Linked DNA regions of Mus musculus. The protein of the gene in region 1 interacts with the protein of each later gene in a biochemical or structural test. Links are inferred from orthologs where the notes say so. Each region holds a gene or a part of one and is shown on either strand. Other genes may lie near its edges.

Region 1 (15,903 bases):
TCATTTTTTGCAAACCTTCCGCCTTGTTTTTTTGAAACAAGAGTTTTCCCTGGCCAGGAGATCACCAAGAAGGGTAGGCTGCTGGGAGCCCAGGGATTCCACTGTCCCTCTCAGCGCTGGGATTCCAAGCAAGCATCTCCATGCTTGGCTTTTCTTGACAAGGTTTCTAAGGATCAAACTCAGTGTCATACTTGCATGGCACATTACCTATTGAGCTATGACCCAAGCCCAAAGCAGTACTGTTGTGTTTTCTTTTGTTTCTTTCTTTGTTTCTTTGTTTTTAAACCAACACTGGTACCATTGGGAAAGATGGGAGGAATATACAGGCTTGCAACTGAAGAGTGTAAATCATTCTTATTAAAATATCCCCATAAGAATATACACTAGCACATGCAAGAATCAAGACAGTCTTCCTGATGTGTGCATTGTTTTAAGATATCTGTGAAGCCGGTGAGAAAACAAAGCCATTGTTAGAGATAGAGACATTGTTAACAGCAATAGCTCAGAATTACCAATATAGAAGGAGGCAAGTTCTACAGCATAGAAGTGTTTATGTGTTTGGGGCTTTTCAATTATTTTCAAAATGGTATTTTTAATTCAAAATACAGGTTTAAAGTCTGTCACCACTGTCACCCTTGATTTCACAGCAGATGTAAGGTAGACTGTGCTTTTCCCTCCTACAGAAGCCCATGGCCCTCCACAGGCAGCAGTCTATTATACCCCAGACCAGCTTCCTCCAGAGAACGCTTCTTTCATGGAGAGGTGCTTCAGGTGCCGGCTGAGGTGCCTGCTGGATAATTCATCTGGTTTTCTGGTAAGGTGCATAATCTTAAAATATCATGACGTAATATAATAAAAGAAACAGCCCTTAAAAAGTTAATATTTTAGGACCAGTAAATTAACTCAAGTGGTGCAGTGTTTTCCCTGAAGAATGGGGGTCATCTGATTTTGACCCTGGGAACCCCTGTAAAAGCCTGGTGTGGTGATATGCACCTATGGTACAGTGAGGGCGGAATGAGAGGAGGAGTCTGGAGAAGCCTGGGTGCTTATGCACACACATACACACACATAAACACACATGTGCGTGTGCACATACTCACATACACACACATACACACGATGTTTACCATATAAACACACACACACCCATATACACCACATTGAATCACACCCACACCCACACACATAAGCACACACCACATATACCACATAAACTCATATTCACACACACAAACCCCATAAACTCACACACACACGCTACATATACCACATAAATTCACATATAACATACATACAACTCTGTCTGTCTGTCTGTCTGTCTGTCTCTCTCTCTCTCTCTCTTATTTTGGTTTTGAGGTCTCTGGCAGCTCAGAGAACCCTATCATTTCAGATGACTTTGTAGCAATTGCTATAACATGGAATGTATACTGTATACTGGATGTTTTGAAAGAATTTTTAAGACTTAGAATTAGCTAGCCACTTTCCAATAGGATGCCTAGCATTTGGGGGTTGTATGCTTTCCATATGGGAAAAGCATAGATGTATGCATGCCTGGAATAAAATGCTTATATTTATGGCTCCAGAGTTAGCATCTGATAGGAGGCGTCGTCCTGTAAGAAGTAACCAGGAAGCCCCCAGCAAGATACTGAGAGTGACTGTGATACTGCAGCCACAGGCAGAGAGGAGTTAGGTCTTACATTAAGCCTCACGAATCAGTGCACTTTGTTAGTGTATTATTTCTGACAATTGTTTTTGCTGATATGGATTTAGAGTTGTAATCTGAGATGGCATTCCCAGTACCACCGCCTGAGACTGGTTAATGGGATTAGGTGGGATTTCTGGGTGTGCTGGGCTTCTTCTGTCTTGTGCTATATCAGATGTGTGTCACATAGTCTCTTAGACTTGTAGATCAGCTGAGTTTATGACACCCATGTCTAAACTCTCTTTGGTCTCTGTCTTCTAAACTCATTCTTTGATCTCTGCATTCTTTAAATGGCCTCATAAGTTTCATTTTACTGTTTTAATAAAATGGTATTTTTTTCCTCAGTAGGAAAGACTACGGTGAGCTATGGCATGTAGATCCTACATGTTTGAAAATTAATATGTAGTTTGACTTTATCACCACTCTTTTTTCTTAAGCTATGTATTGAGTGCTTGGTGTGCAAAGGGTTGTAGAAGGTGGAAATGTCATGTGGTCCTAGGCACAGAAATGATAGGCCACTCCTGTCATGACTTGGGGGCAGGGTAGGTCACTTGGCAGTGCCCACTTCCCCACTCTATCTTTAAATTTGTAATAGACTTTCTGTATAGAGAGGAGTGAAATTAAGTTAGTGGTTCTGAGCCTTGGGAATTTTCTTTTATAACCACCCCTACCCCAGGTACATGATGGAACCTTTGAAAATGAAACCATTACATGATGTTAATTTTAATGACATATTTTTTTTAAGGCAATGAATTTCCAAGGGAGGTTAAAGTATCTTCATGGACAGAACAAGAAAGGGAAGGACGGAGCGCTGCTTCCTCCACAACTGGCTTTGTTTGCAATAGCTACTCCACTTCAGCCACCCTCCATCCTGGAAATTCGAACCAAAAACTTCATCTTCAGGACCAAACACAAGCTAGACTTCACACCTATTGGTTGTGATGCCAAGTAAGGGAACTTTTTCACTCATAATTCTTCAAGAATTAATGCATCTTTTTTATTTTAGCAGATTTGTAAGTGTGTGAGATGTGGTATAGGTTCTAATGTTACTACTATAGGGTCAGTTAATCAATTTGACAAATAATCTGACTGTTTTGTATTATTTACTGCACATGGTTTATTTTACATTTTGTAAAAATATTTCTTAATTTTTAGCTTCAGAGATTAGATAACCATCTAAAGTTAATTAGTTAACTAAAAAGAATTTATATAAAAGCATTTTAATTTTCCCACCTTTTAGAATAAATGACAGACCCTGTCTCTAAAGTACAGTCTGAGCCAGCCATGTTTTTAGCTTTTGAATTCATTTTACGTTTAAGTTAACTATGCCAGATTCATTTTTGACCTTCTTAATATTAATGGCCTTATTCAAAGTTAAGAAAAAAGACTAAAATTGAAAATTAGTAGCCATAAGCAAGAAAATTTAAAAAAAAAACTAAAAGGATGTTTTCTATATACTAATGTGAACATTTTGAATGTTGTGGAAATCGCATACCACCAGTGAATGTTTCTTGATTATTTTACAATCTGATTCTTTTATTTGAACAGAGGGCAGCTTATTCTGGGCTATACAGAAGTAGAGCTGTGCACAAGAGGATCGGGGTACCAGTTCATCCATGCTGCAGACATACTTCACTGTGCAGAATCCCACATCCGCAGTGAGTTGGAATTCTTGTGACCCGCCTGATATACGGCACATGTATTAGAACATATTAAGCTTTTTAAAAATCCTTTGATTCCTGTGTGTGCATGTGGGGGCCAGGAGCCAACCTGTAGGAGGGAATTCTCTTTGCCTTTGTGCGTCCCTAGGATCAACCTCAGTTAGTCAGGCTTGGTGGCAAGCACCTATAGCCACGGAGGCATCTCCCAGCACTGTGATACACATTTCAAAGTGTTGTGTGTGATGACATCATCTGAGAACTACTTGGATCCATCCCGTTGGAGTCATGCTGCCTTGGTTAACCAGTTTTGCTTTTTACTTCTAATTCCTCTACAGCTGCTATGCAGTAATGGTTACAATATGATTATTATGAAAGTAACTATGTTGGCCAGTGGATTTTTGCTCAGGAAGTCTTTAAAGGCACCATGCATATATGTTAATATAAAATCGGGAAATACTAAAAATATTCCTCATTTAACATGAATATGTTTACTTCTCCTCCAAGCTAACCTCTTCTTACACCTGACATGCTCTCAGTATTTCTCTTAACCTTTTACATATTAAGCCTTATCTAAAATGGAAAAGCACAGACTCCGAGGAACCATTTCTGTGCCTTTCAGTGTGTTTAGTGTGTTTAAAAGTTTTCAAGATATTGTCACAGCTGGTGGTTAATGGAATTCATATGGAAATATGTCAAGATGGCTTTTAAAAAGATATTTGTTTTTATGTTTTAATTGTGTATGTACATTTGTCTGTGTGGGAGTTTGCGAGCACCAGTACAGGTGAACTTGGGTGCCAGGAGAGGACATCAGGTTCCCTGGGACTTGTTTACTGGAGGTAGTGAGTCACCCAGTGTGCCCACTGGGAAACAAACTCAGGTCTTTTGCAAGAGCATCAAGTTCCTGTAGCCAGCAAGTGAGCCTCACCTTAGCCCCACAGCGGCACTTGGTTGCAGGGATGTACTGTACTGTACTGTATTGTACTGTACTGATGGAGGGTTTGGTGACCTTGTTGTAAATGTTTACTTGTAGTGATTAAGACTGGAGAAAGTGGCATGACAGTTTTCCGGCTTCTTGCAAAACACAGTCGCTGGAGGTGGGTCCAGTCCAATGCACGCTTGATTTACAGAAATGGAAGACCAGATTACATCATCGCCACTCAGAGACCACTGACGTAAGCATCAGAAAAAGAACATGTCCTGCGTTTGTGTTTTCATAAGTCTTCTTACATGAAAGTTGAAAAAGAATCCTAAGGCAATGGAACCTGTAACTAAAAATGGAAAAATTATCTAGAAAGAGCAGGACAAAGATGAAAAATGTTGAAAAAAAAAGACAAAAGTGATAAGCTTTATCAAGCAGCTAAGTAGATGAAGCTAAAAATGCCCAACTCATCCTGCAGTTGAGGAGATGAAAGACAATGTCATCTCAAAAATAAAAGGAAAACTATAGCACTTGTTTACAGTAGGTTCACAGCAATTTGGAAGCTTTTCACAGATTCCAGAAAGGAATCTTTGGTGAAATATTAATTGCTTTTTAGGAGTTAGGTAGAGCTAAGCATCCTGACTGGTTTTCTCCTTCCTTTTGACTATCAAGTTAGCCAACAGAATTTGTTAAGGAGACAAACCCTTGACAGAGTCTGAGCACTGCACTGCCTGTCAGGCTTCTATATGTGGTCCTGTTTCTAGAGCTATGGGCTGGTCACTGCCATTTCTAGAGCTGCTGGCCGGTCACTGCCATTTCTAGAGCTGCTGGCTGTCCACTGCTGTTGCCTTATGGGTCATCACACAGCCCTAATTGTGCTATCTTTATATTGTGAATACATGTCTTTTTTTGTTGTTGTTTTTGGATACATTTTGTTCTCGTTCATAATTGTCTTGGCTCTTCTTTACTCTTTATGTTTCCAAATGTACTTTAAAACTCATTTATTAAAGACTAAATCCCCAACAACAACAACAACAAAAAACACTGTTGGGATTTTGAAGACATAACTCTTTCAAGAAAGAATTAACATTTGCACAGAACTGAGTCATTAACCCATAACCATAGTGAATGTTTATATTACCCATAGGGGATGTATGCTTCATAAAACCATTGATTGTTACAGCTGACAGACCTCTGATGTCACCAGTGTCTTCCAGGCGTAGACATTTCATTTATTGATTTGCTGTTGTCCATTTCTTTTGTATTCCATTTATGTCTCCTAGTTATTATTTTATTTAGGTATATTTCTATTTTGGTATTTATATGTTTTTCCTATATAGTTTTCACTCCACTTGCATAACACTAGTCATGAGAATAATTTAGTTCAAAATAAAATCCATGTTCCTTGCTATCAAGCTCAGCTTTAGTGCGTTTTACCTTTTCTTCCTTTTAGAAATATCTTACTTAAATCATGTATGATCAAACTCTAATGTATTCAGACCTTCTTGCCTACCCTGTTAGGGATGAAGAAGGACGAGAGCATTTACAGAAGCGAAGTACGTCGCTGCCCTTCATGTTTGCTACCGGAGAGGCTGTGTTGTACGAGATCTCCAGCCCTTTCTCTCCCATAATGGATCCCCTACCAATACGCACCAAAAGCAACACTAGCAGGAAAGACTGGGCTCCCCAGTCAACCCCAAGTAAGGATTCTTTCCACCCCAGTTCTCTTATGAGTGCCCTCATCCAGCAGGATGAGTCCATCTATCTGTGTCCTCCTTCAAGCCCTGCGCTGTTAGACAGCCATTTTCTCATGGGCTCCGTGAGCAAGTGCGGGAGTTGGCAAGACAGCTTTGCGGCCGCAGGAAGTGAGGCTGCGCTGAAACATGAGCAAATTGGCCATGCTCAGGACGTGAACCTTGCACTCTCTGGCGGCCCCTCAGAGCTCTTTCCGGATAATAAAAATAATGACTTGTACAGCATCATGAGGAACCTTGGGATTGATTTTGAAGATATCAGAAGCATGCAGAACGAGGAGTTCTTCAGAACTGACTCCACCGCTGCTGGTGAGGTTGACTTCAAAGACATCGACATAACGGACGAAATCCTGACCTACGTGCAGGATTCCCTGAACAATTCAACTTTGCTGAACTCGGCTTGCCAGCAGCAGCCTGTGACTCAGCACCTAAGCTGTATGCTGCAGGAGCGCCTGCAACTAGAGCAACAGCAACAGCTTCAGCAGCCCCCGCCGCAGGCTCTGGAGCCCCAGCAGCAGCTGTGTCAGATGGTGTGCCCCCAGCAAGATCTGGGTCCGAAGCACACGCAAATCAACGGCACGTTTGCAAGTTGGAACCCCACCCCTCCCGTGTCTTTCAACTGTCCCCAGCAGGAACTAAAGCACTATCAGCTCTTTTCCAGCTTACAGGGGACTGCTCAGGAATTTCCCTACAAACCAGAGGTGGACAGTGTGCCTTACACACAGAACTTTGCTCCCTGTAATCAGCCTCTGCTTCCAGAACATTCCAAGAGTGTGCAGTTGGACTTCCCTGGAAGGGATTTTGAACCGTCCCTGCATCCCACTACTTCTAATTTAGATTTTGTCAGTTGTTTACAAGTTCCTGAAAACCAAAGTCATGGGATAAACTCACAGTCCGCCATGGTCAGTCCTCAGGCATACTATGCTGGGGCCATGTCCATGTATCAGTGCCAGCCAGGGCCACAGCGCACCCCTGTGGACCAGACGCAGTACAGCTCTGAAATTCCAGGTTCTCAGGCATTCCTAAGCAAGGTAAGGGCTTTCGACAGCTGAAAAAACCTTGTAGGCCTAAGCATCTCTGTATTACACTTAAACATATCATCATAACCCATTTTAGATAGCAAGCAACTTCGGAACTGCTTTCGTTATATTTATGGTCACGTAATTAACTTCATTATAGTTTACTTAAAATAGTATGAATAATAAATTATTTTAAATAATTTTCTTAAAAGCAAGTTGATGTTTAGATAATTTAATAACTGTTCTTTGTTACCCCCTCAGGAGGATATCATGCTTATATTAATAAATTTCTCTTTACAAATATTAGCTTATTTGAAGATATACTGGTTTAGATTGTAAGAATATCTTGACTAACATGAAGTTTATTAAGTAACTATTCATGAGCTGTTTGAGTATAGCCATTTAAAAGTGTGGCTTAAATCACAGTCCTGGTTGCTTTTTAGATTGTGAGTGAATCTGCTGTGTCTGATTGTATGGGACTTTTTTTTTTTTGAATGGAGAATGAAGATGATAGTTTTGGTCAATCTTTTTCCTGAAAATTTTTAGGAAAAAGATTTCCTAAAAATTTTTAATAGTTATTATAAAGAAAATGGATTAACCATACTTTGGATATAATTTACTCATAAAAGAATAGAATATTAGTATTTGCCTCAAAGCGGTGTGTCTGAAGGACATTATAGAATATAGAGAGCATCCATGTGTGCAAACCTCCAAGGCTGATCCCTCAGATGCTGGAAATGGCCGCAGAGTGGGGCTGGCTATTGGGTAGTAACAGACAGATAGTGGGAGTAACTTCGGCTCTTCTACAACATAGCAGGATGACAGAAGTTCACAACAGTTCATTGCATGATTCAAAATCACTAGAAAAAAAGGAAATCAAAGGTTCTTCATGCAAATAACAGATGAGTGTTCACAGTGAAAGATAATTGCCTGATTTGCTTACACACTATATAGATGAATTGAAATGTCACATTGTAACCTGTTCATATGAGTAATTGTGCGGCAGTGAAAAAAATAACAACATTTCTAGCCTGGAGAGATGGCTTGGCAATTAACATTTGCTTACCCTTCTTGATCCCCAGCACCCACATGGGAGCTCAGAACAGTCCACAGTTTCCACTTCCAGGCACCCAGTGCTCTCTCTGCACCCTTGAGCACTGCATACTTGTGTTGCACATGCACGTGTGTGTGTGTGTGTGTGTGTGTGTGTGTGTGTGTGTGTGTGTATACATACAAACATACATCATGCAGGCAAAACAACTATACACATAATATTTTATTCTTAATTTATTATTTTTGAAATGAACCATAATTGTATTCCTTTTCTGTTTCCCTTTTTTTTCTACAACCTTTCCCATCTACCATGTTTGCTCTCTTTCAGTTTCTTGGCCTCTTTTCTTTCATTGCTCTGTGTGTGTGTGTGTTCCTAAATATTTAAATACAACCTGCACAGTCTGTATATTACCTGTAGGACAACCCTGAGCAGCAACTCAAAAGGGTTTTTCTCATGCCTGGTGTTGGGGCTGTAGAGTGAATTTGAAGACAGTCTGGAAAATGGTGAGACACAGAACAAAAGGTCAAGAGTATAGCTAGCTCAGTGGTCGAGCCGGGTTAGCATGCACAAGGCCCTTCACTGGACCTCCAGCACTACACAAGAAGTGAGTAATTTGAGGCAACTAAAGGGATAATTTTATGATTTTTATTTTAATCTCAGTTTATTTCATCAACTACACCACAATGTGAAGTTTCTGTAGACTATAACTGTTATATTCGTTCTTCACTGTTTTAGCAGTTCTGGATATGAGACTGGTAAGAAGGCAGGTGTCTTAGTTAGGGTGTGAGGAAACAGCGTGACCAAAAGCTGTCTGAGAAGAAAGAGTTTAAATCACTCACAGCTCCACATAACAGGTCATCATCAAAAGCAGTAGGGTCAGGACCTCAAGCAGGGCAGGAACCTGGAGGCAGAAGCTCATGCAGAGGCCATGGCAGAGTACTTTCTACTGGATTGCCTTCTATTGCTTGCTCAGCCTGCTTTCTTATAGAGCCACACAATAGGCTGAGCCTACATCAATCACTAATTAAGAAAATGCCCTACAGGCTTGCCTGCCTACAGCCAGATTAGTGGAGGCATTTTCTCAATTGAGGCTGTCTCCCCTCAGTGACCTTAGCCGAGTCAAGTTGACATAAAACTAGCCAAACAACTGACTCCTTGTCAACCTGACACAAAACATTTTTCAGACAGAACCTTTCCTTTCGCATTTATCCCCAAGATAGCACATTAATATTACTACCACAATATAAAACATAAATGACTTTAAAAGTCCCACAGTCTTTACAAATGTGAGCACATTAAAAGTTCAATCTCTTTGAAATAACCATTCTCTTTAAAAAATTGGTTTTGTTTGTTTGTTTTTAAAAAAAGCCTTCAGCCCGTGCTGGGGCTACAGTTTGATCTTTTCTCAATTGAGAAATTCCTCTCTGATGCAACTAGCTAACCAAGCATCTTTTTTATTTGGTAACTTGCAGAACAATTTATTAAACACATTTTACAAATAAATTGGATTAAGATCATACCTGTAGTGTAACATTGCAAGAATAGCAAGAAACATTTAAAATCCAGATCTGGGCAAAAGTGCTGGTGTCTGAAATGCTGTGTAGAAGTTCGGATAGAATCAGTTCACTGCCTCCAGGTTTTTGATTGGTTGTGGCAGGACTGAATAACCCTTTGACACCCCATGTCACATAATTTCCCATCAGGCCCCAAGGCAGACGAAGTGAGATAGTTGTAGCGTTCGCTGTACCATCTTTAAATTATCTTGTAGGACTAATGAGAAAACCTGATCTTCCAAAAGAAGTCAGTGTGTGAGCGTTTCCTCTGTGTGATTTGAATGACGAAAGACTTAGCCATGAGCATCATCAGTACAGGACTGTAAAGTGAAACAACCCATAGGTCTAACAGACTAAAAGTCGTTTTTAAGGTCTTCCTCAGATCCTAACAAGCTGCTGTGCTGTGTTTGTTCTCAGGTGCAGAGTTGAGGTGTTTTCAATGAAACCTATTCGTCCGACTTGAGCAGCATTGGCCACGCTGCTCAGACCACTGGCCATCTCCATCACCTGGCGGAAGCCCGGCCTCTTCCCGATATCACACCCGGTGGATTCCTGTAGCTCCCATGCCAGGATGAAATTCATTCAGGAACAGGATACCAGAACTGTGAGGGTTGGACATCAGTACACTTTCTCCAAAACAGATTTCGATTCTTGTGTTTAGAGAAGGAGTTTAAAACCCGTACCTGAGATGCTCCCTATACGATGGGAGAGCTCGGACGGAGCACATGGGAGGAGTTCAGGCACCTCAGAGTGCACAGTGTTTACTGTGAAAAATTCTCGGGTTCCCTGCTCAGTAACTTCAGCAGGAAAAACAGGGAGGTATTTGGAGCTTTGAACTTCTGGATTCTTGTTAGTATACCAAATACGGAGTTACAGGACTAACCGATTTCCTATATTTTTTAACCTCTGTTTTTGTCCCAGAAGTTAAAGTAAATGGTTTGGTGCTTTTCTCAAAAGAAAATCTCAATGCTTTCTTTCTGCACTGTTAATATAAGTGCCTCACTTTTTGTTGTTGTTGTTGTTGTTTTCTGATTTTTTTCTTTTTTTCTATCTACCTGTAACACAATAGGGTATGTATTTTATATGAAATATTTTTTATCTTTTTTGAATTAATATTCTTTCTGCACAAAGAAAGTTTCCCGAATCCCAACCTTTCTATGACCCCGCTGTGTGTGTGCACTACTCATCCTTTCCTTCAGATAAAGAGTAATTGATAACTCAAAGTCCACTATTTATTGTGTAATATACCTGCTTCTGGCCGTTAGATGTTCCTCTGTGCCTTATGTTGAAAAATTTGAAAAATAACATGTTGCCCAAATTATTTAATTATTACATACTATTAGAGAGTAGCACTTGTATTTTAACCGTGTTTTCTGAGACGTGAGATAACGCTGCTGCTGAAGGTTTCCCAGAAACCTCCACGATGAGATCAGAAGGCCACCGTAGAAAGTGCTAAAGGTGCCTATGTCCACTACGCTGCAGTGAGGGGAGGTGGCGTGTGTCAAGCCTGTTAGCTATATTAAGCAGAGCACTCATTTCACTCTGTCTAAATTATCTTTGAAAAACTGTCTGTAATCCTGTTTGTGATATTGACTTTATAAATTCCACTTCTTATACTAGTGGAAGCTATTCATTTTTCTCATATTTGAGGAGTGTTAAGATGGAAGATGCCATGTCAGGTGCAAGGTGTTTTAATGACTGAAATGAATGGTGCATTGTATAAACATAACGAACAAAATAATCTGTAAAATATTCGCAGTTTTCATTTAAGAATAGTTCTTACCTCATATGCATTTTTTCAGTGTATCTTGTAAAGAAATCAAGTAGTAAATTGAAGCTTTTACGTTGGCATTAAGATAAAGATAAATACAATTTGTTCACCTCCATACCTTAAGTTGTTTATGTGATACACCCTTTGCTGCCAATATGGCAAATGTGTCACTCTGCCAAATGCACTGTTCTCAAACGGCTTAAAGAAAAAATGCTGGTGTCTGCCATTGTCTCTGTTCTTGCTTAGATATGATATATGAAGGATGTGGTCCTGGATCTGTTTTTCATATGTTATATAAAAAGCTGATGAGATCCCAAACTGAGATGTATTCAAATCCAGAAGTGGTTCTCAACCTGTGCTCTGTGGCTCCCGTGGGAGATAGACTGACCCTTTCACAGGGGTCCCCTAAGACCATTGGAAAACACAGATATTTGCATCACAATTTATAACAGTAGGGAAATTACAGTTTTAAAGTAGCAATGAAAATAATTTTATGGTTGGGGTCCTGAGCAACTGTATTCAAGGGTCACAGCATTAGAAAGGTTGAGATCCACTGAAATGTTGACTCTTCTTTTTTTCTTTTAGAAAATTAATGTATGTAAACATGCCTTTGGGAAAAAGATCTCTTCTATGCATTTTCAGTCAAAATTCTGAATCTCTAGGATTAAGCATTGAAAAACAACTGTCTAAAACATTTCACAATTTTTTTCCAGCATGAGGTGTCACCAAGGATTTAGACTGGTGGTCTGAATTAGTATCCCACTTTTCTATGTAAACTTTTCATTAAAAGTTGTCATAGAAACCATTTTGTCAGTCTCTTCTGCATGTTACCAAATATTCAGTTAAAAAAAAGAAGACAACTTTGGACACTGAGAGTATGGTGGCATTTAATTACACACTTATCAAACTGAAAGTCTTAAAAACAATATTGTGTGTTCTTATCTATATAAAAATAGCTAAAACATCTAAGAATAATAAAATCACATTAAACTGCCTATTTGTTTGTCTGTATTGCCAAGTGCCAAATGGAAAGACCACTTAGAGCACCACTAGACTGAGGGATTAACTTCTAGATGAAATTCTAAGACTCTTGTGTATGTCTGATTGAAGTTCTTCTTTTCTAGGTGTTTCTTACAGCACCTGAACACTTAACCAATATGCCAGTGTATCAACTTTTCAATTGTTACTATGCACAAGCTAGTTTGAGTATCAATAGATCTTAGGTCTACATAGCTCCTTGCTGTCCTTTAAACTGTTACTTGCTTACATATGCCATGCATAGATTTTTGTTAAAGTATGATTTATAATGTCCTTAAATATCAAAGGAAATGTAAACAGTGATATATGATAATAAACTAACCACCAAATATAAATAGTGTTTTCATGCAAGTTTTTCTTTCTGTCTCTATAGAGAAAACAGAGCCCTGTACCATTATATGATGGTTAGGCAAAAGTAGTCTTTATAGAAAGACCAATACACCAAGTCTTTCATGAAAGGGTTACTTAAATTCTCTGTTTGAGCTATTTGATCTGAGCAAACTCAAGCTGACAAGTGATCTGTAGTCCCCAGCCACTAGTGTGATTATGTTGGCAGCCACACAAGACAGTAAAGTTGTACAGTGTACCACACCACTGATGTTCACTCTTGTGATGTGATATGTGCACATCAGAACAGTCTACATCACATCTCTTACTGTATATCACTGAATACATGACTACAATCATGTATTCATTCTGATCTCTGTGCACACTCAGTCCAATGGCTTCCTTAATTACAAATGATTCCAGTTTACCACATCGTACCAAGACTGCTAACGCAAGGGTGTTGGCTACTCCAAGGAAGTGGCTGGTAGTTATGATTTCTGTCTTAACACTCTGCAGATGATCTTGCTTCCAACTTCCCAGTGCTTCTCTGTACCTTCATCTCTTCAATACTACCATTCCTAGACTTCACCTTTCCTGGAGTATATAGGAGGAGAGGTTTCAAGACCTTGAGGTAAACACCCATCTTCTTTGTACTTCACAGTTAAAGATACTTATCCCCTCACACCGTCTCCTCAGCCCTTTCAGCTCTGCAGCCTCCACTCGCACCCTCTTTTCATCTCCAATCTTGTTAAATCTTGGTTCTGGTTTTGGTTCTTTATACGCTCATCCATTCTACAGCTCTTGCCTTTGTGAGGAATACCCTCAAGGTTGAGCTCACTATGAGTGCCCTTCATCACCTCTTTGAGTGTAAGATACGTGACTTCCAAATAACAGCACATAAAGATGGAAAAACGATTCATAAAAAATTACACACTTAGAGATGAAGAAACTGAGACCAAAGATTTAAAGTGACCTCACATCGTTTGTTTAGGTGATCTGGAGGGAACAAAGTACACTGACTGATACAGGGCAGAGCAGCTGACTGTCCCTGCACAAGTGCATTGCTCTATCTTCCCATTCCACCTGATGCATCATTTAGTTTATCTCATTTACATCCCATGAGGTCAATTTAATTATTCCATTTTTATAAAGGACTAAACTATATTTTTAAAAAGCAACTGAAATCTTCAAATGGTTATACACAGAATAGTTTGTATTTTTTAAGAACCCATGTGTATGTTAATTTGGTGGCAAGGGACATTCTGTAGATGTTACTGTACAGTCCAGGACCTAGAAATGACAAGATGCTATAGATTGGATCGAAAATGTCCTCTATATCTCTTGTTGGAGGCTTGGCCACTAGCTTATGATCTATTGAGAGGGGATGGAGCCTTTAAATAATAGTATACCATGGGAGGATACTGGACACCAAGGGTGTATCCTGAGAAGAGATTTTGAGACCAAACCCTTCCCCTCTTTTTCTGTATTTCCTGAGTCCAGTAAAGTGAGCAAAACTCTTTTACCTTAGTTCCTTCAAAATGTGCTGGGCAGTAACATGGCCAAGAAACCATGGACGAAAATCATGGAAACCACAGCTTATTCCTTCTCTCTTAAGAGAAGGCTGACACAGGGGCTGCCCTGGATTACTGGGGAGGCTCAGTGCAATCATCAAAAAGTTCTTGCAAGAGGAAGGTTGGAGAGTCAGAAGGGAGGGAGAACAGAACGGAGGACAGCAGAAGGATTTGAAGACACTATGGTGATAATGCAAGAAGGGCCAAGAAGCTAGAAAAGGGAAGGAAGTAATGTCTTCCGATGTCTTGATTCCAGAGTAGCAAGCATCCTCTAGTTTAGGGTTTTCAACCTGTGGATTGTGACCCCTTTGAGGGTTGAAGGACAACCCTTTCAAGGAAGTCATATCTTGCATATTAAATGCTTACATTATGAATTCATAACAATAAAAATACAGTCATGAAGTAGTAATGAAAATCTGGTTGGGGGACACCACAGCATGAGGAACTAGGTTAAAGGACTACAGCATGAGGAAGGTTGAGAATTTCTGCTCTAGTTCTATTAAGAAGATATTTGGGCTCTTGCCTTCCTGCTCCCTGTCTGTCCTCTTGCCCATCTCCCCCTCCCCTCCCCCAACTCTCCATGTGCCCATTGCTGGCCTCTATTTCTCTATTCTCCCTCTCTCTCTGACTTTTTCTGCCTCTACTACCCTCTTAGCTCCCCTCCCCATGCCCTAAATAAACTCTATTCTATACTTTAAAAAAATATATATATGAGATACTTGTATTGTCCTATGCCAATTAATGCAGTAATTCATTATTGTAGCCATTAGAAATCAGCACAAATGTTTAGATTTTAAGGAATGATGCTTCTGGAGTGGAAAGATCTCCGTTTGCACATCTTTCTATACGAAGTGTTGTTCTGAGCATTCTCCCAGGCTGCAGCTCAGAGAACAGCCAGGAGGGCTTGGCACCATTCCTATGGCTCCTCCCACCTTTAAGTCCCTCTGGACCAAGAAAAAGAGAGTCTACTTTATGAGTGACACACTGGTGCCTGGTTGGCTCCAAACTTGCCTCGGTGCAAGGACATGTGGAAGAGCACACTGCAGTCTTGCTTTCTCCAGATGTTTGCCTCATGTTGGGAATCAGGAAATGTGTGTGTTGCTCACAGCCTCACATATGTTTCTAAGGAAGTGTCTTAATAATGTGTCTACTGGTTGCAAATCACCATACAAATTGGCCTGATTCCTAGAAGAAAAACGGCTTTCCTGAAGTGGGCTAGACATTATACCCGCACTGCTGTGTATACATTGTCAAGTAGTTCTTTTCATTAAAATTAACACACCTATTTTGAGGGTAGAAAGAGTACTTTTTTCAAACTTCTCTCAGGATATTATCACTTTATAGGGTTCAAGGGAAGCCCATTAAATGAGAAAAAGCCACAAAGCTGTTAAAATACTGTCCATTACAAACACCTTGCCTGATATTTGTGCAACGCCTTCTGTGCACAGAGTTTTCAACTCATATTGGATCTAGTTTGATTATTATACAATACGGAGAGTTGATTGTCCAGCAGTTTTCTATTTAGTGTTTTGAA
Region 2 (16,840 bases), on another chromosome or scaffold:
AGCGCTTGCTAATATATACATCTGGGAAGGAATTTATGTATGACAACACCTGTAACAGAACATTGTATAATGGGGAAGTGTGACCCTAAGAAAACAACAAATTATTCAAAGCGAAATCTATGTCTGCTGTTTCCATTTTGTGTATCAGTCCAAGAACTAGGCTTCACAAAGCACTCTGCCACCTTCATCTACAAGGGTATGGCCTTAAGCAAATATTTAAATAAAACTGGTGATATAATTCAAGAACTTCAGAGGCAAGTCTCCTTTGACCCCAGGTCCAGACTGGGTTCCTCTCAGATGTCTAATTACTGCATCCAGCTGGTGCAGTGCATCCACACTGGTCTGAGTTGGGATGCCAGGGATTATTATGGCCAGCAAGACCAGGACAGGAGCACATCTTTGAGGCATTAGTACATAGATAGGGGACTCTTAGGTCAGCCCTTGGACCCATTTTCTAGCCTAAACTTGCTGAATGGCCATCACACAGACTTGTGTGTGATGTATTTACATATATCTTGCACTGCATACATTTTCTGTCCCTCACACCAAGGGGATAGTCTTAGCCACACACAACACAATATGAGAAAGACAACATGAGATGTTCCCTTAAATATCTATATGACATCTTCTTAAATCAGTAAAACATCAGGACCCCTGGAGTAAGTCACTTCCTCATTCTTTAAACAACTCCAAAGAGAAGTCTAGACAGGTACACTTTGGCCCTACACTGGCTGCTTTCAGGCCCTTCTACCTTTGAAATGGAATGCCTGAGACTGAGGCTGCCCCTTCAAGTACCAGTCACCTATCCCTGGTGGTCTTTATCATCCCAGTCACCTATGCCCATGGCCTTTATCATTGTGAGTCCTAGTTCAGGCCCACCTCCACACACTACTTAATCATTCCCCCCCAGTAGCAGGATTCTCCCATCTGTAGACAGACAGAATGAGTGTTTGAATCAATTGGTGGGTTGTGATGGTAAAGAGAGGTGAGCAAAGGGTGTAATTTAGTACATATTTGCCCCCATGGATTATACTCCAGATAAGAAAAGGAGACAGAACATAGAAAACCCATGTCTCACTTTTTATATGGTATTGTCAATGTGAGAACCTTTAATATTTCTTCTACAGTATAAGGAGAAGAAATTATGTAAATAAATAACCATTACTGCTCAGGCCCTCCCGGTTTAGCCTTTGTAGAGCAGAGAATATATTTCATGTTGTGCATTCAGAAGAGTTTAGTGTTCAGGAAATATAGATGTAATCAGCTGCCATAACTAGAAATCAAAGTTATTCTTGTGCAGAAAATGGATTTATTGTATTTATGTTAACTAGATGGTTCTTTTCAGAGCCAGTCTCATTTATTTGAAGGGATATTTAGGTGTATGAATTAAAGAATTTTTTTTCAAAGTAAGTTCAGGTCATGACCTAGTCTTTGGATGATGTCCAGAATATTAAGGATTAAACACACCATCCGGAGGCCAAATGTGAAAACCACCACGGGGGATGCTCATGCCAGCTTCAAATACTTAGCCAGAGCAAGCCATATTGGACAATATGTCTAAAACTGTCTTTTCCATCATTCAAAGTTTTCTTAAAAGTTGGATGGCGTAGGGAAGGCTTCCCGTGAATTCTCTTCTTCCAATGAAGTCCCTTCTGGCTAGCAATCAAAACAAGTTTAGTCAAAAGTGGAAATGTGCTGTATGGAAGGGGGTGGGTGAAGGGGGGTGAATTACTACTGATAGGTTTATTTCCATTTTCAGATATTCTGTCTGCGATTTTCCAACAAAATAATGTTACTATTCATGTCTCAGCATCCCTTGCACCTTGGAGACTTGGTTCAAAAAAACTCCTTTGGAAAACTTTTTTTTTTTTTAAGTGAAGGGACTTTTCACAGGAATGTTTTAGGATGGAAAGTTTAAAAGTGAAGGTGCATAATTCCACAATGTTCCCTGCAGCCCACACAATCCTAGGCCTGCCTTCCCCCACTCTCTTTCTCTGGGAAATGGCACAAGACCAGCAAAGTAAAGGGTATTTGGAGAACTTTAGGCGCATAAGGAAAAGAGAAGGGAGACCTTTGCTGAGAAAACCTCTGTACAATTCCCCGGCACACACTTCTGCTTTAAGATACTTCACTGGGTGGGATTTTACAACCCTAGCTTCTCCACACTGGCTCCCTTCCTGGTGGATTTGGCTAAACGATGGGTAGGAGTGCACCAGCCAGGCCTGGGCCTGCCAGAGTCAAAGGACCCTGCTCACTGCTTCCCAGGCTCTTTGTCACTTTTGAAAAACACATTTCCATCAAGAAGACTTGTTAAGATAAAATGCATTCAAAGTCGGAGGAAGCTATTCAATAAATCTTCCATTTGTTTTAAGTTTTGCACTTAAAACCCTTGCAAAGAATGACTCTCTCTCTCACAAGCAGACCTGCATTTGCACTGAAAGTAAAAGGGGAGGGGGCAAGTCCAAGGCTCTAGCCACCTTGCATACAAATGAGCTGCTCTTATCTAAATAAATTATCTGCTGCTCAGATCGATATTAATACTACATTTGCTACATTACAATATTGTGCAAATTTTAGTGTCATTTTAATACAATGTAAATATGACTCTCCATGCATGGAAGTCGAAAAATCTTGATAGATTATCCCACTGCTTCCTGTTTTAACAAGGCCTTGGGAAAAAGAGTTTTGCCATCTCCACTCATGAATGGTTTTAATTTGGCTTTTGGAGGGCCTGACTAGGATAGATTTATTAGAATGGTTTATTTGTTCTCCTAATCTAGGAATTAAAAACAATAGTGTCAATAACGGTGGTAAAATTGCAACTAACCTTGCTTATAGTGAGCAAAGCCCAAGATCCATCTAAGCAGCTCTGCCCAAGCAGAGTTCTTTCTGGCTTTGTTTGTATTTCCTTGTTACCTGCTGTCCCTAGTGTGTATATAGTTCCCTCTTGTAGGTTCCAATAATAAAAAGCGGATAGTGTTCTCACAGGCTTAGACCAGAGCCCTTCAAAGGCAACGTTAATGCACTTTCCTGGAAGTTAATTTGAACCATCTATCATAAGAGAGATTGTTAACATGCATGCTACCACCGCCTACACTTAATTTGATATTTTAAGGCATCCTTTTAAATTTCTAGTGTTTGTGTGTTTGCATAGCTATGAAATTTATCTCCCGGCCCGGAGTGCTCTCATGCTTGCGGGTTTTACAGTATTGCTTTTGTTTTTTATCTTTCTTGTTTAGATCGAATCCGTTTTTTATGACCCTCAATAACCTCAGCAACTGCAAACATGAATGGTTTCCGATAAGGGAAAATCAAGCAGCAATAAAGCGAGATTATTTATGATTTATTTGTGCGTATTCTTCCCTTTCCGCCTCTGTCTGTGTCTCTCTGTCGGGAAACTCATCCAAGGAGTGTGCCACACAGACTAGGAAGCCACCTTCCCACGTTCTCTTCTTCCTTCTGTATCGTTCCTCCCACAGAAACACCGAGCTCTTGTACACACACACACACACACACACACACACACACACTCACACGCGCGCGCGCACACACACACACACACACACACGCACACGCACACGCACACGCACACAGAGAGTTCACACACAGAAGCTAGACGATCCACAATGCCCTGCCTCCCTAGACACACAGTCGCCTCACTCTCGGGGCGCGCTGGGTCCAGGCCATCCATCAGGCCAGGCCGCTGGCCTCACTGAGCTTCCTCCGCTCCAAGCACCACTACGCTCCCAAGATGGCAGCGGCGCGGTCGGCGACAACCACATACCCGGGCTGCAGACCCTGGGCAGGCCCAAGGTGGCTTGAGCGCCCGGCCTCACAGCGACAGCGGCGGTGCGGGAGCTGCAGGATGCCAGGGACTCGCCTCGCCATGCCCACCAGCTCCCCGCACAGTCTGCCCTCCTCGCGACCGCATCCTCACCTGACGTGAATAGCACGATGGCTTTGAGGCAGCTGTACTCGGCAGAGTCGACGTGCAGCGCCTTGAGCTTCTCCACCTGTTCCTGAAAGATGCGGATGTGGTCCATGAAGGCCACGACGCGGTCCGCGGACATGGGCGAGGCGTGCAGGCCGGCTGCGGCCAGCAGCGGCGCCACGTGCAGGGGCATGGAGCACTGGGCCGCGTTGAGCACGAACAGCTCGCTCCAGGTGAGGCGCAGCAGAGACACCTGGTCCGTGATCTGCAGATCCGGGAAGAACGGGATGTTGCGGGCCCACTCGACGGCGCTGAAGAGGAGGCGGGCTGCCAGCTCGCAGATGTTCTCGATGCCCATGATGTTGTTGGGCTGCATGCACTGGCTGCCATAACGCGACGTGGGGTAGGGCTCTGCGCGCAGCAGCAGAGAAATGTAGCCAGACAGGTAGCAGTGGCCATTGAGAGGATCCCCGTTTGTGAGTGCATACTGGCCTGGATTGGGCTGGGTTGGAGGCATTCTTCCTCGCTGAACCGCTGATAAAAAGAAAGAGAGAAAAGAGGCAATGTGCATCCAGGGGGGCTTGTGAACATCGCCGAGCCGCAGCGCGCACCCAACGCACTGTGGTTCTTTCCTGCAGTCACTCGCTCCCGAAGCATCTTCTCCTGCTTGCTGGGTCTTACTCACAGATCACACTGCTAGGAGATCTAGGGTGAAGTCATCTACCTTCACCGGCTCCGTGTGTCCATCCATAGTCTGCATCCCTGGCTATTTTAGCTAGAGAAGAAGAACTAGGCCTGACTGCAAGGCCCCTAGCTCAGGATGGCTAAGAAAGTACCACCCAACCTCCCAGCTACTAAGAAGCAACACAGATATAAATGAAATCCTTTCAGAATGATACAAATCAAAGTTTCTCTTTTAAAAATGAAACCTGAGAAAGCCACAAACCTTAGAGTACTCTTCACTTGTAAACAAGCAGCAAGTGTATAAAATGTTCCCATAATCTCTAAAGTGCTACAGAATAATTTTTAAAAGATACAAGTTATATATATATATCTTACTGAGTTGGACTACCAGCAAGCATAACACACACCTCCTCCCATCTTCCCTCCTCCAGACTGCCCCATACAAATTTCTCACTATTAAAAGAAACAGAAAATTAAAAAATTTCAAAGAAGTTGAACTTACAGTAGCCAAACATATTGAAAAAAAGTAGGAACTACAATTAATGTCTGTCCTGTGCGATGCCACTGCAACCTGCAGCCAGCTTTGCCCAGTGAATGCGCGAGCTTGCAACTGCAAAAACACTGGATTCATTACCCATCTGAATGCAAAACGTAAGCATGCATTGAGTTCTTAAAGCTGACCAAAGTTTTTTTTTTTTTTTTTTAAATGTGTATGTTTTACTTCAACAGTGCCAGCATTTTCAATTGCCATGTAAACAAAGACAACTCTAGGGAAAGTTAGGGCTACTGAACTGCCATCCCCCAACAAATTAGTAGAGCGAGGTCCATGTCCACAGAGCTGTCCTACCTCAGGCTCTACATCATTTTCTTTGGTTCTAATTCCAACAAGAGTTTCAGTGCGGTTTACGCTCTTTGAAACACAATGGTTAGAATACTTTTTCTAATTATAGTTTTGAACTTGGCAGTTATTTTTCAATTAAATGAGAGCACAATTCAAAGTTTTTTTGTTTTTTTTTGTTTTTTGTTTTTTTTTTTTTCAGATGCCTAAACAATCTCCCTGGAGCTAGCAATGGAGTCGTCATATTTGCCTTCTCCTTGAGATCTGAAGGAATTCAATTTCTTTTCTTGTGGCATATAAAATATAATTTTGAAGTCAATTACAAGAAGAAGTAATCTATGTTCTTCGAAATTGACTGGTTCACTAATTTGACTATAAGATATGTTTAATGATTGCCAGGAGATAAACTTTAACTATAAACCGCTAAATATATTTGTAAGAAAAGTGTTCCATCTCATGCCACATGAATATGAAGCATATCCAAATTAAACATCAAAAGTTGTGCTTAATAAAAAAAAAATCTCACACATCGATTAAATGATGCAGAAGCTCAAGCCAGCTGCAGTCTGTGCATTATAGCCAGATCAGAAGGATCGGTAAATGCCGTTGTAAATTGTAATTTGTATGCAGTATTTAAGCAGAGGGTGGAGTTTGATGAAGAAATAAAACGAGTATCAAGCTTTAAAAATGACACTACTATGAAAGCAGGGTTCAGTCACAAACTTTCCTTTCAAAGTATAGGGGTGAAAACAAGGCCACAGCTCGGGAGGAGGCGGCCCCAGATCCCTGAAGAGGAGAGGGAGCCAGTGAACAGGCCAGAAGCCCCCCTTCCCCCCTAATTAGACCTACAAGTGCAATAAATCTCACTCCTCTTTTTCCAAGCTAAGCTTCCTAAAGGATGGTGGCAGCAATGAATCTATGGTTCAGGGTCCTCCAGCCCCAGTCCTCTCCCATTATAAATAAAAGGTACGATGAGGCAGAGGAGAAAGTAGAATGGGAAAAACAAAAAAAACCAAAAAACAAAAACACACACGGAGAGAAACGGTTTTCTGCAGAAAATCATCACCCCTCCCAAGTTCATGCTAGCACAGCCCCAAGCATCCTCACACACAAGCGGGAACGAGACACACACGGAGCACATCCAACAGAGGAAGGGAGGGATTTTTAAGCTACAGCTCACGATCCCAGGGACACAATCTTGAGCAGGCAGCGGGCGGGGTGGAGGAGCCGGGGAGAGGAGCGCAGGGCGGGAGGGGGAGGCAGCGGCAGCGAGCTGGGGGGGGGGGGACGCTGGGGGAGGAAAGCAGCGAAGACTGGGAAGCCCGGACCGGCTGGGACCACAGAAGCCCCATCCCCACAGCCACAGGCACCAAGGCGAGAGAGAAAGAAAGAGCAGGGAGGCGGGCGAAGCGCAGGGAGAGAAGCAGAGAAGAAATATTCACCTTCCCGCCTCATGCCCACTTTGAGGCACTTCTTGAGGCGGCAGTATTGGCACTGGTTGCGGTGGTGCTGGTCGATGGGACAGTTCCTGTTGGCACGGCATGTGTAAGTTAAGTTCCTGCGGACGCTCCTCTTGAAGAAACTTTTGCAGCCCTCGCAGGTGAATTGGCCGTAGTGCTTGCCGCTCGACTTGTCCCCGCACACCACGCACTCGATGTGCTGCTGGCTCTGGCCTGAACCGGGCGGGCCCTGGCCCTTGTCCCCTGCCGTGCCGGGGGTGGCGGGCGCTCCGGGCTGGCCCGGGGTCTGCGGCGTGTGCGGCGCGCCGGAGCCCGCCTGCTGCTGCTCGCCGCCGCCGCCGCCGCGGGCTGCCTGCGCTGCGGGGTTGGGGCCGCCGGGGTTGCCCCCGGCCACGTCGTCCTGCGGATCTCGCCAGCTGCTAACTACCATTGCCATATCTTTGGGCCCAGGGAGCGCTGGGGGGAGCCGAGCTGCTCGCCGAGGGCCGCGGGGCGCGCGGGCGCGCTGGGAGGGGAAGGGGAAGGGGAAGGGGGGAGGGGGAGGGGGCGGGGGGCCCACCGGGCGCCCCGGGGTCGCCGGAGCCGAGCCCGAGCCGGGCACCGGCCTCTGCCTGCGCCGCCGCCGCCGCCGCCGCCGTTACTGCCTCAGCCGCCCCGCTGCTGCTGCGCGCCCGCCCGCCCTGCTGGCGTTTTGTTGTGGTTCCTGCTGTTTTCTTTCTCTCTTTTTGCAGCCCCCCCAGGCTCTCAGGCTCCCCCCCCCCAACACCCCTGCTCCCCTCGCCCGCTCCCCCCGCACTCCGTTCCTGGGGGGGCCTCTCTCTCTCTCCCCCCTCCCCACCCCCCAGCGAGCGAGCTCCCTTCTCTCGCTTTTTTCTTCTTCCCCAACTTGCAAAATCAGAAATGGCACAGGCGGCAGCCGGGAGCGGCGCGGGGCGCAGCGCCGGGGGCGGCGGGCATGGGCCACGGCGCGCGCACACTCTCGCCCTCCGCCTCGCCCGCACCCCCGCGCACACACACACTCGCACACACACTCGCTCACCCGCGCCGGGCGCCCGCCCGCCCGCCCGCCCGCCCGCTGGCCGCTGGCCGCTGGGGCTACGCGCAGAGCGCGGGCTGAGCCGACATAGAGGAAGCGGCGAGGGCGGCGGCGGCCGCGGAGGAGGAGGTCGCGGCTGCAGACGCTGCTGGAGGAGCTGGCCGCCGCTGCGTGCTCCGCTGGAGGAGCCCGGGCCCGGGCGGGAGTCCGAGCCGGAGTCGGGGCCGCAGCCCGAGAGCGAGCCGAGGCCGGTGCTGCCCGTGCCGCCGCCGCTGTCCTGGCGGGAGCCCTCGCCCGGTTTCAAGAGTGCGGGGAGCTGGGAGAGTCGAGCAGGATCGGGACGAAGCTGCCGGCGAGGATCAGGGCGCTCGGGTGTCTGGGGGCCAGGTCCAGGGCCGGACGCAGCCAGCCATTCAGGAAGGCAGCGCTGGAGAGCGGGAGGCAGCCGGCGAGGAAGATCACACACTTTGCTCTTTTTGTTGTGCGGGTGGCGCCGGGTTCTCTCTGCCTTCTTCTTTCGGGAGGTGACGGAAGGGGGAGAAAAATACGAGATAATTCACGCCAGCGACGAATTCACAGCGAAATAGGAAAAAAATAAAAATCAGAAGAAAATGCTTGAGAAAATAAGGAAAAAGAGAAAGCGAGAGAGACATCCAAAGTAGGTCGAATAAATAATCCTCTTCTTTTCCTCTTTCTTGCTTCTTCTGCTTCTTCTGCTATAACACACAGAGCTAGTTAAAAAACCCTGGAGATCGCCCAAAAATGTTCTTTTTTTAGTATTTTAAATAAGTGCTCTTCAGCTGGGAACCAACACCCTCCCTCCAAAAAAAATCATATATATATATATATATATACATACATATATATATATAATAACGATAAGAAGAATACTGAGGGGTGCCTCCTCCTCCTTTTTTTTTCAAGTTTAGTCTTCTCTCTTCTAGAGGAAAGGAGTGAAAGAGAAAAGGAGGGAGAGAAAGAGGAAGGGCGACAACTAGTAGAATATGTAAGGAAAAGAAAGGGGGAGAGATAGGGCAAGAGGAGAGTGGGTGAGAGAAAGGAGAGGAGGGAGAGAGGGGCGAGAGGAGAGGAGAGGAGAGGAGAGGAGAGGAGAGGAGAGGAGAGGAGAGGAGAGGAGAGGAGAGGAGAGGAGAGGAGAGGAGAGGGACCAAAAAATTGAATGCGTTTAAACGGGAGGACACTCAGAGCAATGTTTCCGAAAGGGGGATCTGCGCGAATGTCTGTATATAGTGAACTTTGACACTACTATTGAAACTGACACGTTTCTATGGAGATCTCTGCCTTATATGGAGCTCGTGTCAAGGAGCCAAGAGAAGGGCTGCTGGCAACTGATAATCAAAGGCGACTGACTGGTCAGAGCCCTGAATGGGGGGTGGGGGGGGGGAGAGAAAATGGGAGGCTAAGGTTAGCCAAGCCTCCTTCACGCCATTGGTTGGAAAGTCCTTTTCCCCTCCCCCCAGCTACCTACAGTCTGGGATGTCGAGGGGAGGAGAAGAGAAAGTGAGGGGGGGGGTGCTTCTGACAAGCATAATTTACATTGAGATCGCCCTGCGCTGCTATTTACTCTGAGACCTGATTAGTATGGGTCGTGTATGGTCACACACACACACACACACACACACACACACACACACACACGAGGGGAAAGGGATGATGAGGGGAGAACGCGTTGTGATGGGAAAAAACGAGGAGAAAGAAATTACTGTATATCTTATGAAAACTTTTCAGAATTAGGTTTTATGAGCGTAAGGAGTGGCACTGAAAACGTTAAGAAAAAAATTAATGAGGAAAAAAACTCCATCATTTTAATGATTTGTGAAGTCTACTTGGTTTAGAATCTTAGTTCACATTCAATATAATCTTAGTCTGTATCCCGCTCATTTTATATAATTATGAAAAGCCTCCTCATTTAAAAATCTGAAGTATATCATAGTTTCGGAGGCGTAATTACGACAAAGCACACACATGAAACTGCAGCTACTGCCACAAATTCGATCCGAATCGATGATTCCTATTCATCCCAAAGATGATCTTAAAATAAACTTTCCAATCAATCCTCTTTTTCCTTTTTCATCATTTTTATTCCCAGGATGCTCAAACTCCAAACAATGCTTCAATGATTATTAATAAAGCATTTGTAACTCCTCATATTGTTGTGGGGCGGCTGTTAGTGCGGACAAGTCAGTCACAGGAAAAGAGCAAACGAACGAACGAGAAGACGGGGAAGAGGGAGAGGGGAGGAGGGGAGGGGACGAGAAGTGGGAAACGGAGGGGGAGGGGGAGGGGGAGAGGAGGAGGAGGAGGAGGAGGAGGAAGAGACTGAGTCTCTCACTCGCTGTGTGGTGGTGGTGGTGGTGGTGGTGGTGGTGGTGGTGGTGGTGGTGGTGGTGGTGGTGTGTGTGTGTGTGTGTGTGTGTGTGTGTGTGTGTGTGTTGGGGTGTGTGTGACTGAGACCCCATTCCCGAAGGTGATTGGTCGCAAAAGGAGGGGTAGGCAGGAGGAGCGGGTCCCGCCGCGGGCCTTGCAGGAATCGCTAGGTCGGCCTGCCACCTAGCGGACGGGAGCCGCTCTCAGGCGGCACGCAGCCGAGTCCCTCCTCCCCTCCTCATTGGCAACCAGTGCCTTTTCTCCAAACCAAGACAGCACTTTGAAAATTCTTTCAATGGAATTTTTTTTTCCTTGAAAGATGGTACTGGGGAAAACGATACTTCTATTAGTTACATATTCTCCAATCCCACACTCGCAACCCCCCTCGTTTTAAGATCGCTCTCATCCGCAGGCTCAGGCAGGCACAGGGCGGCAGAGTGACAAAGCCACGGCTGCCTCCACCCGAAGTGGGAGTGGGAGTGAGAGTCCCTCTTACCAGCCCTCAACTAGGGAGAGCGTAAAAGTTTGTCTCAAGCGTTCCGAGCGCCCCAAGGTAAAGGTGGAAGTAAATGGCCAAGTTGTATGGAAAGAGGTAGGGTTTGGCTATTAATACTGGTTCCCACTTTAAATCTCACTAGTGAGGGCTTTAGAAAGCGCTGAGTGTTTGGGGCACGCTTTGCGCTTTTTGGTCTCTGGGATCTACCACTTAGTGGCCAGTGATATATATTTTTTTTAAAGAGCAGAATAAAGACTTTCTTATGTATGCCCTTCTATTTGGAATAATGGAGACTGCATTCTGCGTGCTGCGGCCCATTGTACGCAGATGATGGAGAGGCGGGACATGGGGTGGCAGGGGCTCCTGGCCTTAGCCTCTCAGCCCTAATATTCGTGATCAAGTCTTCCGGTTCGTTTAAAGGTGAAATTGATATGATAAAAAAAAGGAGGGAAGGAAGGGAGGGGGGAGGGAGGGAGGGAGGGAGGGAGGAAGGAAGGAAGGAAGGAAGGAAGGAAGGAAGGAAAGAGGAGAGAGAGAGCGTGTGCGCGCTGTTTATATAGAAATTCTAAATTTTACTCCCCAAACAATCAGAGACAGGGAGTAGTGAGCAGCGGAACGCAGCAGAGAAAGGGAGGCTGGGGGAGGGAAGAGTCACAAAACAGTGGGAGAGGAAGCAAAAAGCAAGCGTCCGGGAACCGGAGGCCTGCTGGGTGCGGGGTCTGCATGCCTAGTCTCCCTCGGACTCTGGGCTGTACACGGTGGGCACCAGAAGTGAGACTCGGCCAAGCCCTGCCGTACCAGGCAAGTAACGCAAAGATAATCGTGTGTGTGTGTGTGTGTGTGTGTGTGTGTGTGTGTGTGTGTGTTTTGAAACTTGGGGTCTGTAATCTTCGATAACGTGGCTAGGTAGAAAGGCAATCGTTACTCGTCCTCGCCAGCCTAGATAAACAGTCAAGGCAGCCCAGGTAGGACCCGGAGAACTTTCGTCCGGGCCTGGAAGGTACGCCTCCTTGGAGGAGAGGATCCTTGCCAGCCCATCAGTCCAAACCCAAAACAGGTCCTCTCACTAACCTCTCCCACCCGGAGCGGGAAACGCTACGTGGGCAGGGGACCCGAGATTGCATCAAGTTTAGCTTCCGCGCGGCCAGCCTGCAGCTTGCAGAGATGGAGAAGCCGTGGAGCCCGCCGGCCTCGGCACCTGTGCCTAGCCGCGCCGCAGACAGGACTTCGCGAGTCGCGCTCAGTCGCCAGCCTGAGGTCGCCCCGAATAAAATAAGGCAATCGATGGCTGCCCGTTTGATGTGGGCGATAGTGTCAGCGGATTAAAGGGGACAGCGGTTCTCCAAAGCACAGAACCTCGGTGGCCGTGCAGAGCTGTGAGGTAGAGTAGAGCTAGATTCTACTCGCTGGGCTAGGCGGGCTGGGGGCGGGGAGGGGGTCGCCTCCCAGGAGTGGGAACCGAGGTTGTGTGTGTGAAAGGAAGAGCTTCAATTAAAACCAACAGGAACGCTCACCCACCCCACCCCCCACCTTCCCTGCGCCTGGCAGGGGCGCGCGTTTGCGTCAGAGGGCGCGCAGGGCGGGCTCGCTAGGAACGGGTGGGGGTGGGGAACGGACACGCGGGACCGCGCCCGGGGGCTGGGTGGGCTCTTGAATGAGTCAGCCCTGCCTGGAAGGGCTAGTCGGGGGTCAAGTCCCGCAACAAAGCTGCTGGGCCAGCCGAGACTCAGCGGGAGAGATGGCGTCCACACATCCTCACTGTGGCTTCTCCTTCCTGGGTTCCTACCCCGCCCCAAGCTTCCAAACTTGCAAAAAGGCCTCTGGGACTTAGATTGACCCCTAGAGTGAAGAAGTCTGCCTCTCCAGGCCTTGGGCGAAGCAGCCGGCTCCTCTGAAAAGAGATTGCAATTCTCAGTCTTAGCTCTAGGAGCAGGGATGGGATGCTGTTTGTTGGTGCTGCACACAGCAGGGGAAGCCTCAGGCTTTCCGAAAGGGGAATTGGTTGTGCACTTTTGAGTCAAGTGTCCCAGTCTCTTGTGATGGGGATAGCATGAAGCAGAGACTTTTTGAAGAGGGCCTTACCCACCCATGGGACTCGGTCTACTTAGGACTCTATCTCCTGGGATTCTGTGTTGCTCAGAGCAATTGCACACCCACATGTGTTCACAGTCCTGCCTCTACCAAAATGGCTTCCCTAGAGATCCAGAGGTCAGCTCAAGTCTTGTGGAGCTTTGGCTTTGTTTCTTAAAGCTGTGGTTTGTCACCAGCTATACTCGTCACTGGTCCTAATATCTGTTGTTGGATAGGTAGTTCATCTAAGAGAAAATGCTCGAATTTTTCCAAGGGCACCAGAGATCTCAAACTGAATTCCCACACACGCTCAGCTGCTGGACTAGGAAAAGCAGTTGCAATTTTCACCCTTTCCTCTTCTGTTTTCTTTTCTGAATTTCTTCCCTTCTCCCTATCCACTCTGTTTGCCTCGCACCAGTCAGAGCCCTGGGAAAGTTAAATTGAGTTTGAAAGTGGCAACTGGACCAGACTGTGGCCCTAACCTTAGCACTGTATGAGTCTTGTTAGTGCAGGCAGAGAGCAGGGGCATGGTGCTCTGACTTCTCCAGGAGCCTTGTGGGAAGACCAGGGGAATACCTCAGATCCATAGCCTTCTTTTTTATAATTTTCCTCTACTTTCCTAGTTCCCACAGACCTGTTCAACACACAGGGTCCAGTGCAAAAAAGAAAGTGCTCGGGTGGAGGAATTAAGCTGTGAATTTACTATATTCTTTATGAGCTTCTAGCATCGTGGTTGGCTGTTAATCACCTTTTAAAAAAGCTTGCCACACAACACTTGATCCCTCAGCTAGGCATCTGGTAAATAGCTGGTGGGAGAAGGGAGAATCTGAGGGGAGGGCAGTCTGTGGCTTTCCATATGCTAGGAACTCATGATCCAAGCCCCAGAGTCTGAATGTAAATGGTCTCTTTACCCAATTTACATAGCTTTTTAAATACAATTTTTAACAGGGTAGGAAGAAGGCTAACCTATTCTTCACTAATCCTTTGGTCTCTTTCACATTTGCAGTTTGCTTTATAGAATGACACCAGATCATGCATTTTAGGTTATTGTTAAGTCACACTGAAAAAAAAAGTAGCTTTGTAAAGACATTTCATAAATCTAGCTAAAGAGACACTGAAACCTACCAATGGTCATATTACAGAAAATTCTCTGGTACACCACTTCCATACCCTTAAGTCGTTCAAACAGTATTATTCTGTTTAGAGAAACCACAGGACAGAAATAGCACCCTTCTCAAGCTCATGTGGAGTGATGAACAAGCTTGCAAACTCTGAGAGAAAGGTCAGGTCCTCTGATCTTGATACAGATTTTCCCCAGAGAGCTTGTTTTAAAGGTATCAAAACAATTAGTCTCCCTTGGCATGAGATTAAAGCCAGGGAGAATACAGTTAAAGAAGATGCATTTAACATGATAGTGAACAGATCTTTGAGGGAACAGTGAATGGGTACAGGATTGCCAGCCAAGAGCCTCAGGCTAGATCCTAAATCTCTCCCCCAGTCCCAAGATTGAACTCAGTCAGCATGATAGCTGACCAACTGTAAAAAATATGACTATGTCAACATGTAAGCCAGAGTGGAAAGGGCAGTTTAGGATGTGGGCTTCTGCTGGCCTGAGTAGGGCAACCTAACTGCCCATAGGCTTCAATGAGGCCCAGAACTTGCAGGCTTCCATACCCACTGTTATTCTGGTAGTCTAGGCTTTTCTTCTTTGTCACCTTTGAGTAAAACAAGCTCAGAGATAAGAACTTCAACTTAGTGTTTTAGTTGTCCAACTCAAACCAAGACATTTATAAAACACATTTTGGAAAAAGATAAGAGAGATGCCTCCATTGTTCCTGAGCTTCAGGTTAGAGGGCCCAGGATTAACAACCTTAGGGGTGGGAGGACAGATAGCAGGAGAATAAGGCAAGAGCTGACCTTTCGATGCAAACTGAGAGGGAAAGCAACAGTCATTTCCAGTACATCAGTGAAGACAGAGGCAAATATTTACCTTTTTAAAGAACCAAGTCTTGACTATATAAGATCATTTGCAAAAAAGAGAAAGAAGGTTGGCTTTTTATGTTACAGTACATATTCTTTTATTTTTAAATGCTGGACTTGACTGAAGAATAACTACATGGCTATTCTTTCCAGAGAAAACGGGTTGATTTAGATGAAAAGTTGAAGTTTTGAAATGAGTTTAAAGGTTGTTAGACTATCCTGACAATACAATCAGCTGTGCTGTAATAATCATTTCCCTAATACTTACCTGTCAGAGTACCTATTTCTTTTACTACAGGATTAGCCCATCAGAGGTAAAGCTAAGCTGGACATTTTACTGACTAAAGACTGCTTGACCATGTTTAAATCTCTAATGCTCTTTTCTTCACTGACTATGATACAAACTAGTGACTGGGAAAAGCCCAGCAAATCTACTAACTGCAGTTATACTGCGGTTGTATTTACCTACCAGAAAATGGATCAAAGTGGTAAAGCTAATATTTCCTTCTAAACTGTCAGTAGAAAGACATGTTTATTACAGTGTCCTCCATCTTTGAGGGGGGAAGGGTTCCTGTAAAGTTTAAATGAAAAATGATGAATATAGTCCACCTCTGATACAAACCATACAGAAAAGTAAGAAATTATACCCTATGTTATGTTAGGAGATGTATGTTTTATTTACCTGGTTTAGAGGTAGAAAAATCCATGTCCCCATCCACAGAAGGAGTTAATAAAGTATTCCAAATGCATGGCCTAAAAAAAAAAAAAAAAAAAAAAAAAACTCAGGGTAGTTTTATGTTTTATTGTTAACCCTTTGCATGAAGTCTTCTGCAGCTGAAAGGAGAAAGCAAAGGGCTTTTGTGTTAGTTGATCCTAGGCTATTCTGGGGCTCAGGTTGATGTGAAAGGGATGAGGCGGTCACTTGAAATCTCCTTTTATCTACTCTTATTTTCTCTCTGGATCAGCAACTTTGAATAGACATCATCTAATCGCTCTTAATGGAAAGAAACTACGGGAGCAACACAAATGCCTTTGCTCCAGAAGCGAATACACGCCTGTGGCAGCTAGCTGAGCTTACATAGGACTGCATCTCTGCATACATGAGCTTAGGGCATGGGGGGGGGGAGCAAATGCACACTATATGTATGTGTCTCATACGCTGAGGGATTCTGTTGCTCTTCGTGTATATGTGTGTACAACACATGCACATTTTAATTGGAGAGCACATTGGGTGATACTTTTAACTGGTCTTCCCTTAAGCTTTTCCTTGCACTCAATTTCTGGCCACATTTCAGCATTATAAAAGCACAAGTCCATGAGAACTCAATTGTCAGCCTTTAAAAAAAAAGTCACCTTATTTCCTTTCTGTTTTCAGGCAGAAGTCATCTAGTAGAAAGGTTTCTCCTAGAGTGAGGCTGCTCTGACAGCCGGGATGCAGTGGTACCAAGCTTTACTTTCAATTTCTCTTGCTTCAAATTCGATTAGACAATAAATAAGTGGGAAGCAGGAGCCCAACTCAAAGTTGCTTAAAACTTTTTCCTCCTTTACATTTATATCTCTAAATCCTTGAAACTGATAATTGTTTACAAATTATTATTTTGAAATTAGAAATATTTTAGTAAGACTCAGACTGACTCAAATAGGACTCAGTGTGCCTTCCTTTTGGTTTGCTACATTTACTTTTAAAAAGAAATATGAATAGCTATCCAGAAAGGGACATTTGCTTCCTAGGACTGAAAGCAATGGCCCTTTCCCCTTCTTAGGAAGCACCCCCTTCATGTTCTTCTAAGCAGAATTCTAAGCCGAGGACACTGCTATAAATTCCATTAGGGGAAGGCTCTGTTACCAGGGCTACAGGTTCTCATGTCAACCTGCCAGCCTCTCTGCTCCCTGATATAGATACCCTTGGCTGTAGAGGCTGGGAGCTCCAGCGGCCCTTCTGCTACCGGCCTGCTGA

The links.
Region 2: the proteins of Ahr (region 1) and Nr2f1 form a complex in vitro, tested with the Homo sapiens proteins (2 studies listed by BioGRID). The link is inferred for Mus musculus from reciprocal best matches to the Homo sapiens genes AHR and NR2F1.

The regions. Positions count from the first base shown.
Region 1 is NC_000078.6:35,494,877-35,510,779, reverse strand, and holds the end of Ahr (aryl hydrocarbon receptor), read left to right. Parts: intron 1-683; coding exon 684-814; intron 815-2,447; coding exon 2,448-2,650; intron 2,651-3,250; coding exon 3,251-3,360; intron 3,361-4,393; coding exon 4,394-4,535; intron 4,536-5,803; coding exon 5,804-7,067; intron 7,068-10,079; coding exon 10,080-10,091; 3' UTR 10,092-12,801; downstream 12,802-15,903. UniProt on the Homo sapiens protein: Ligand-activated transcription factor that enables cells to adapt to changing conditions by sensing compounds from the environment, diet, microbiome and cellular metabolism, and which plays important roles in development, immunity and cancer.
Region 2 is NC_000079.6:78,191,225-78,208,064, forward strand, and holds the start of Nr2f1 (COUP transcription factor 1), read right to left. Parts: upstream 7,650-16,840; 5' UTR 7,350-7,649; coding exon 6,896-7,349; exon of another isoform or gene 5,980-6,895; intron 5,226-5,979; exon of another isoform or gene 5,131-5,225; coding exon of another isoform or gene 5,118-5,130; intron 4,944-5,117; exon of another isoform or gene 4,878-4,943; intron 4,466-4,877; coding exon 3,938-4,465; intron 1-3,937. UniProt on the Homo sapiens protein: Coup (chicken ovalbumin upstream promoter) transcription factor binds to the ovalbumin promoter and, in conjunction with another protein (S300-II) stimulates initiation of transcription. Binds to both direct repeats and palindromes of the 5'-AGGTCA-3' motif.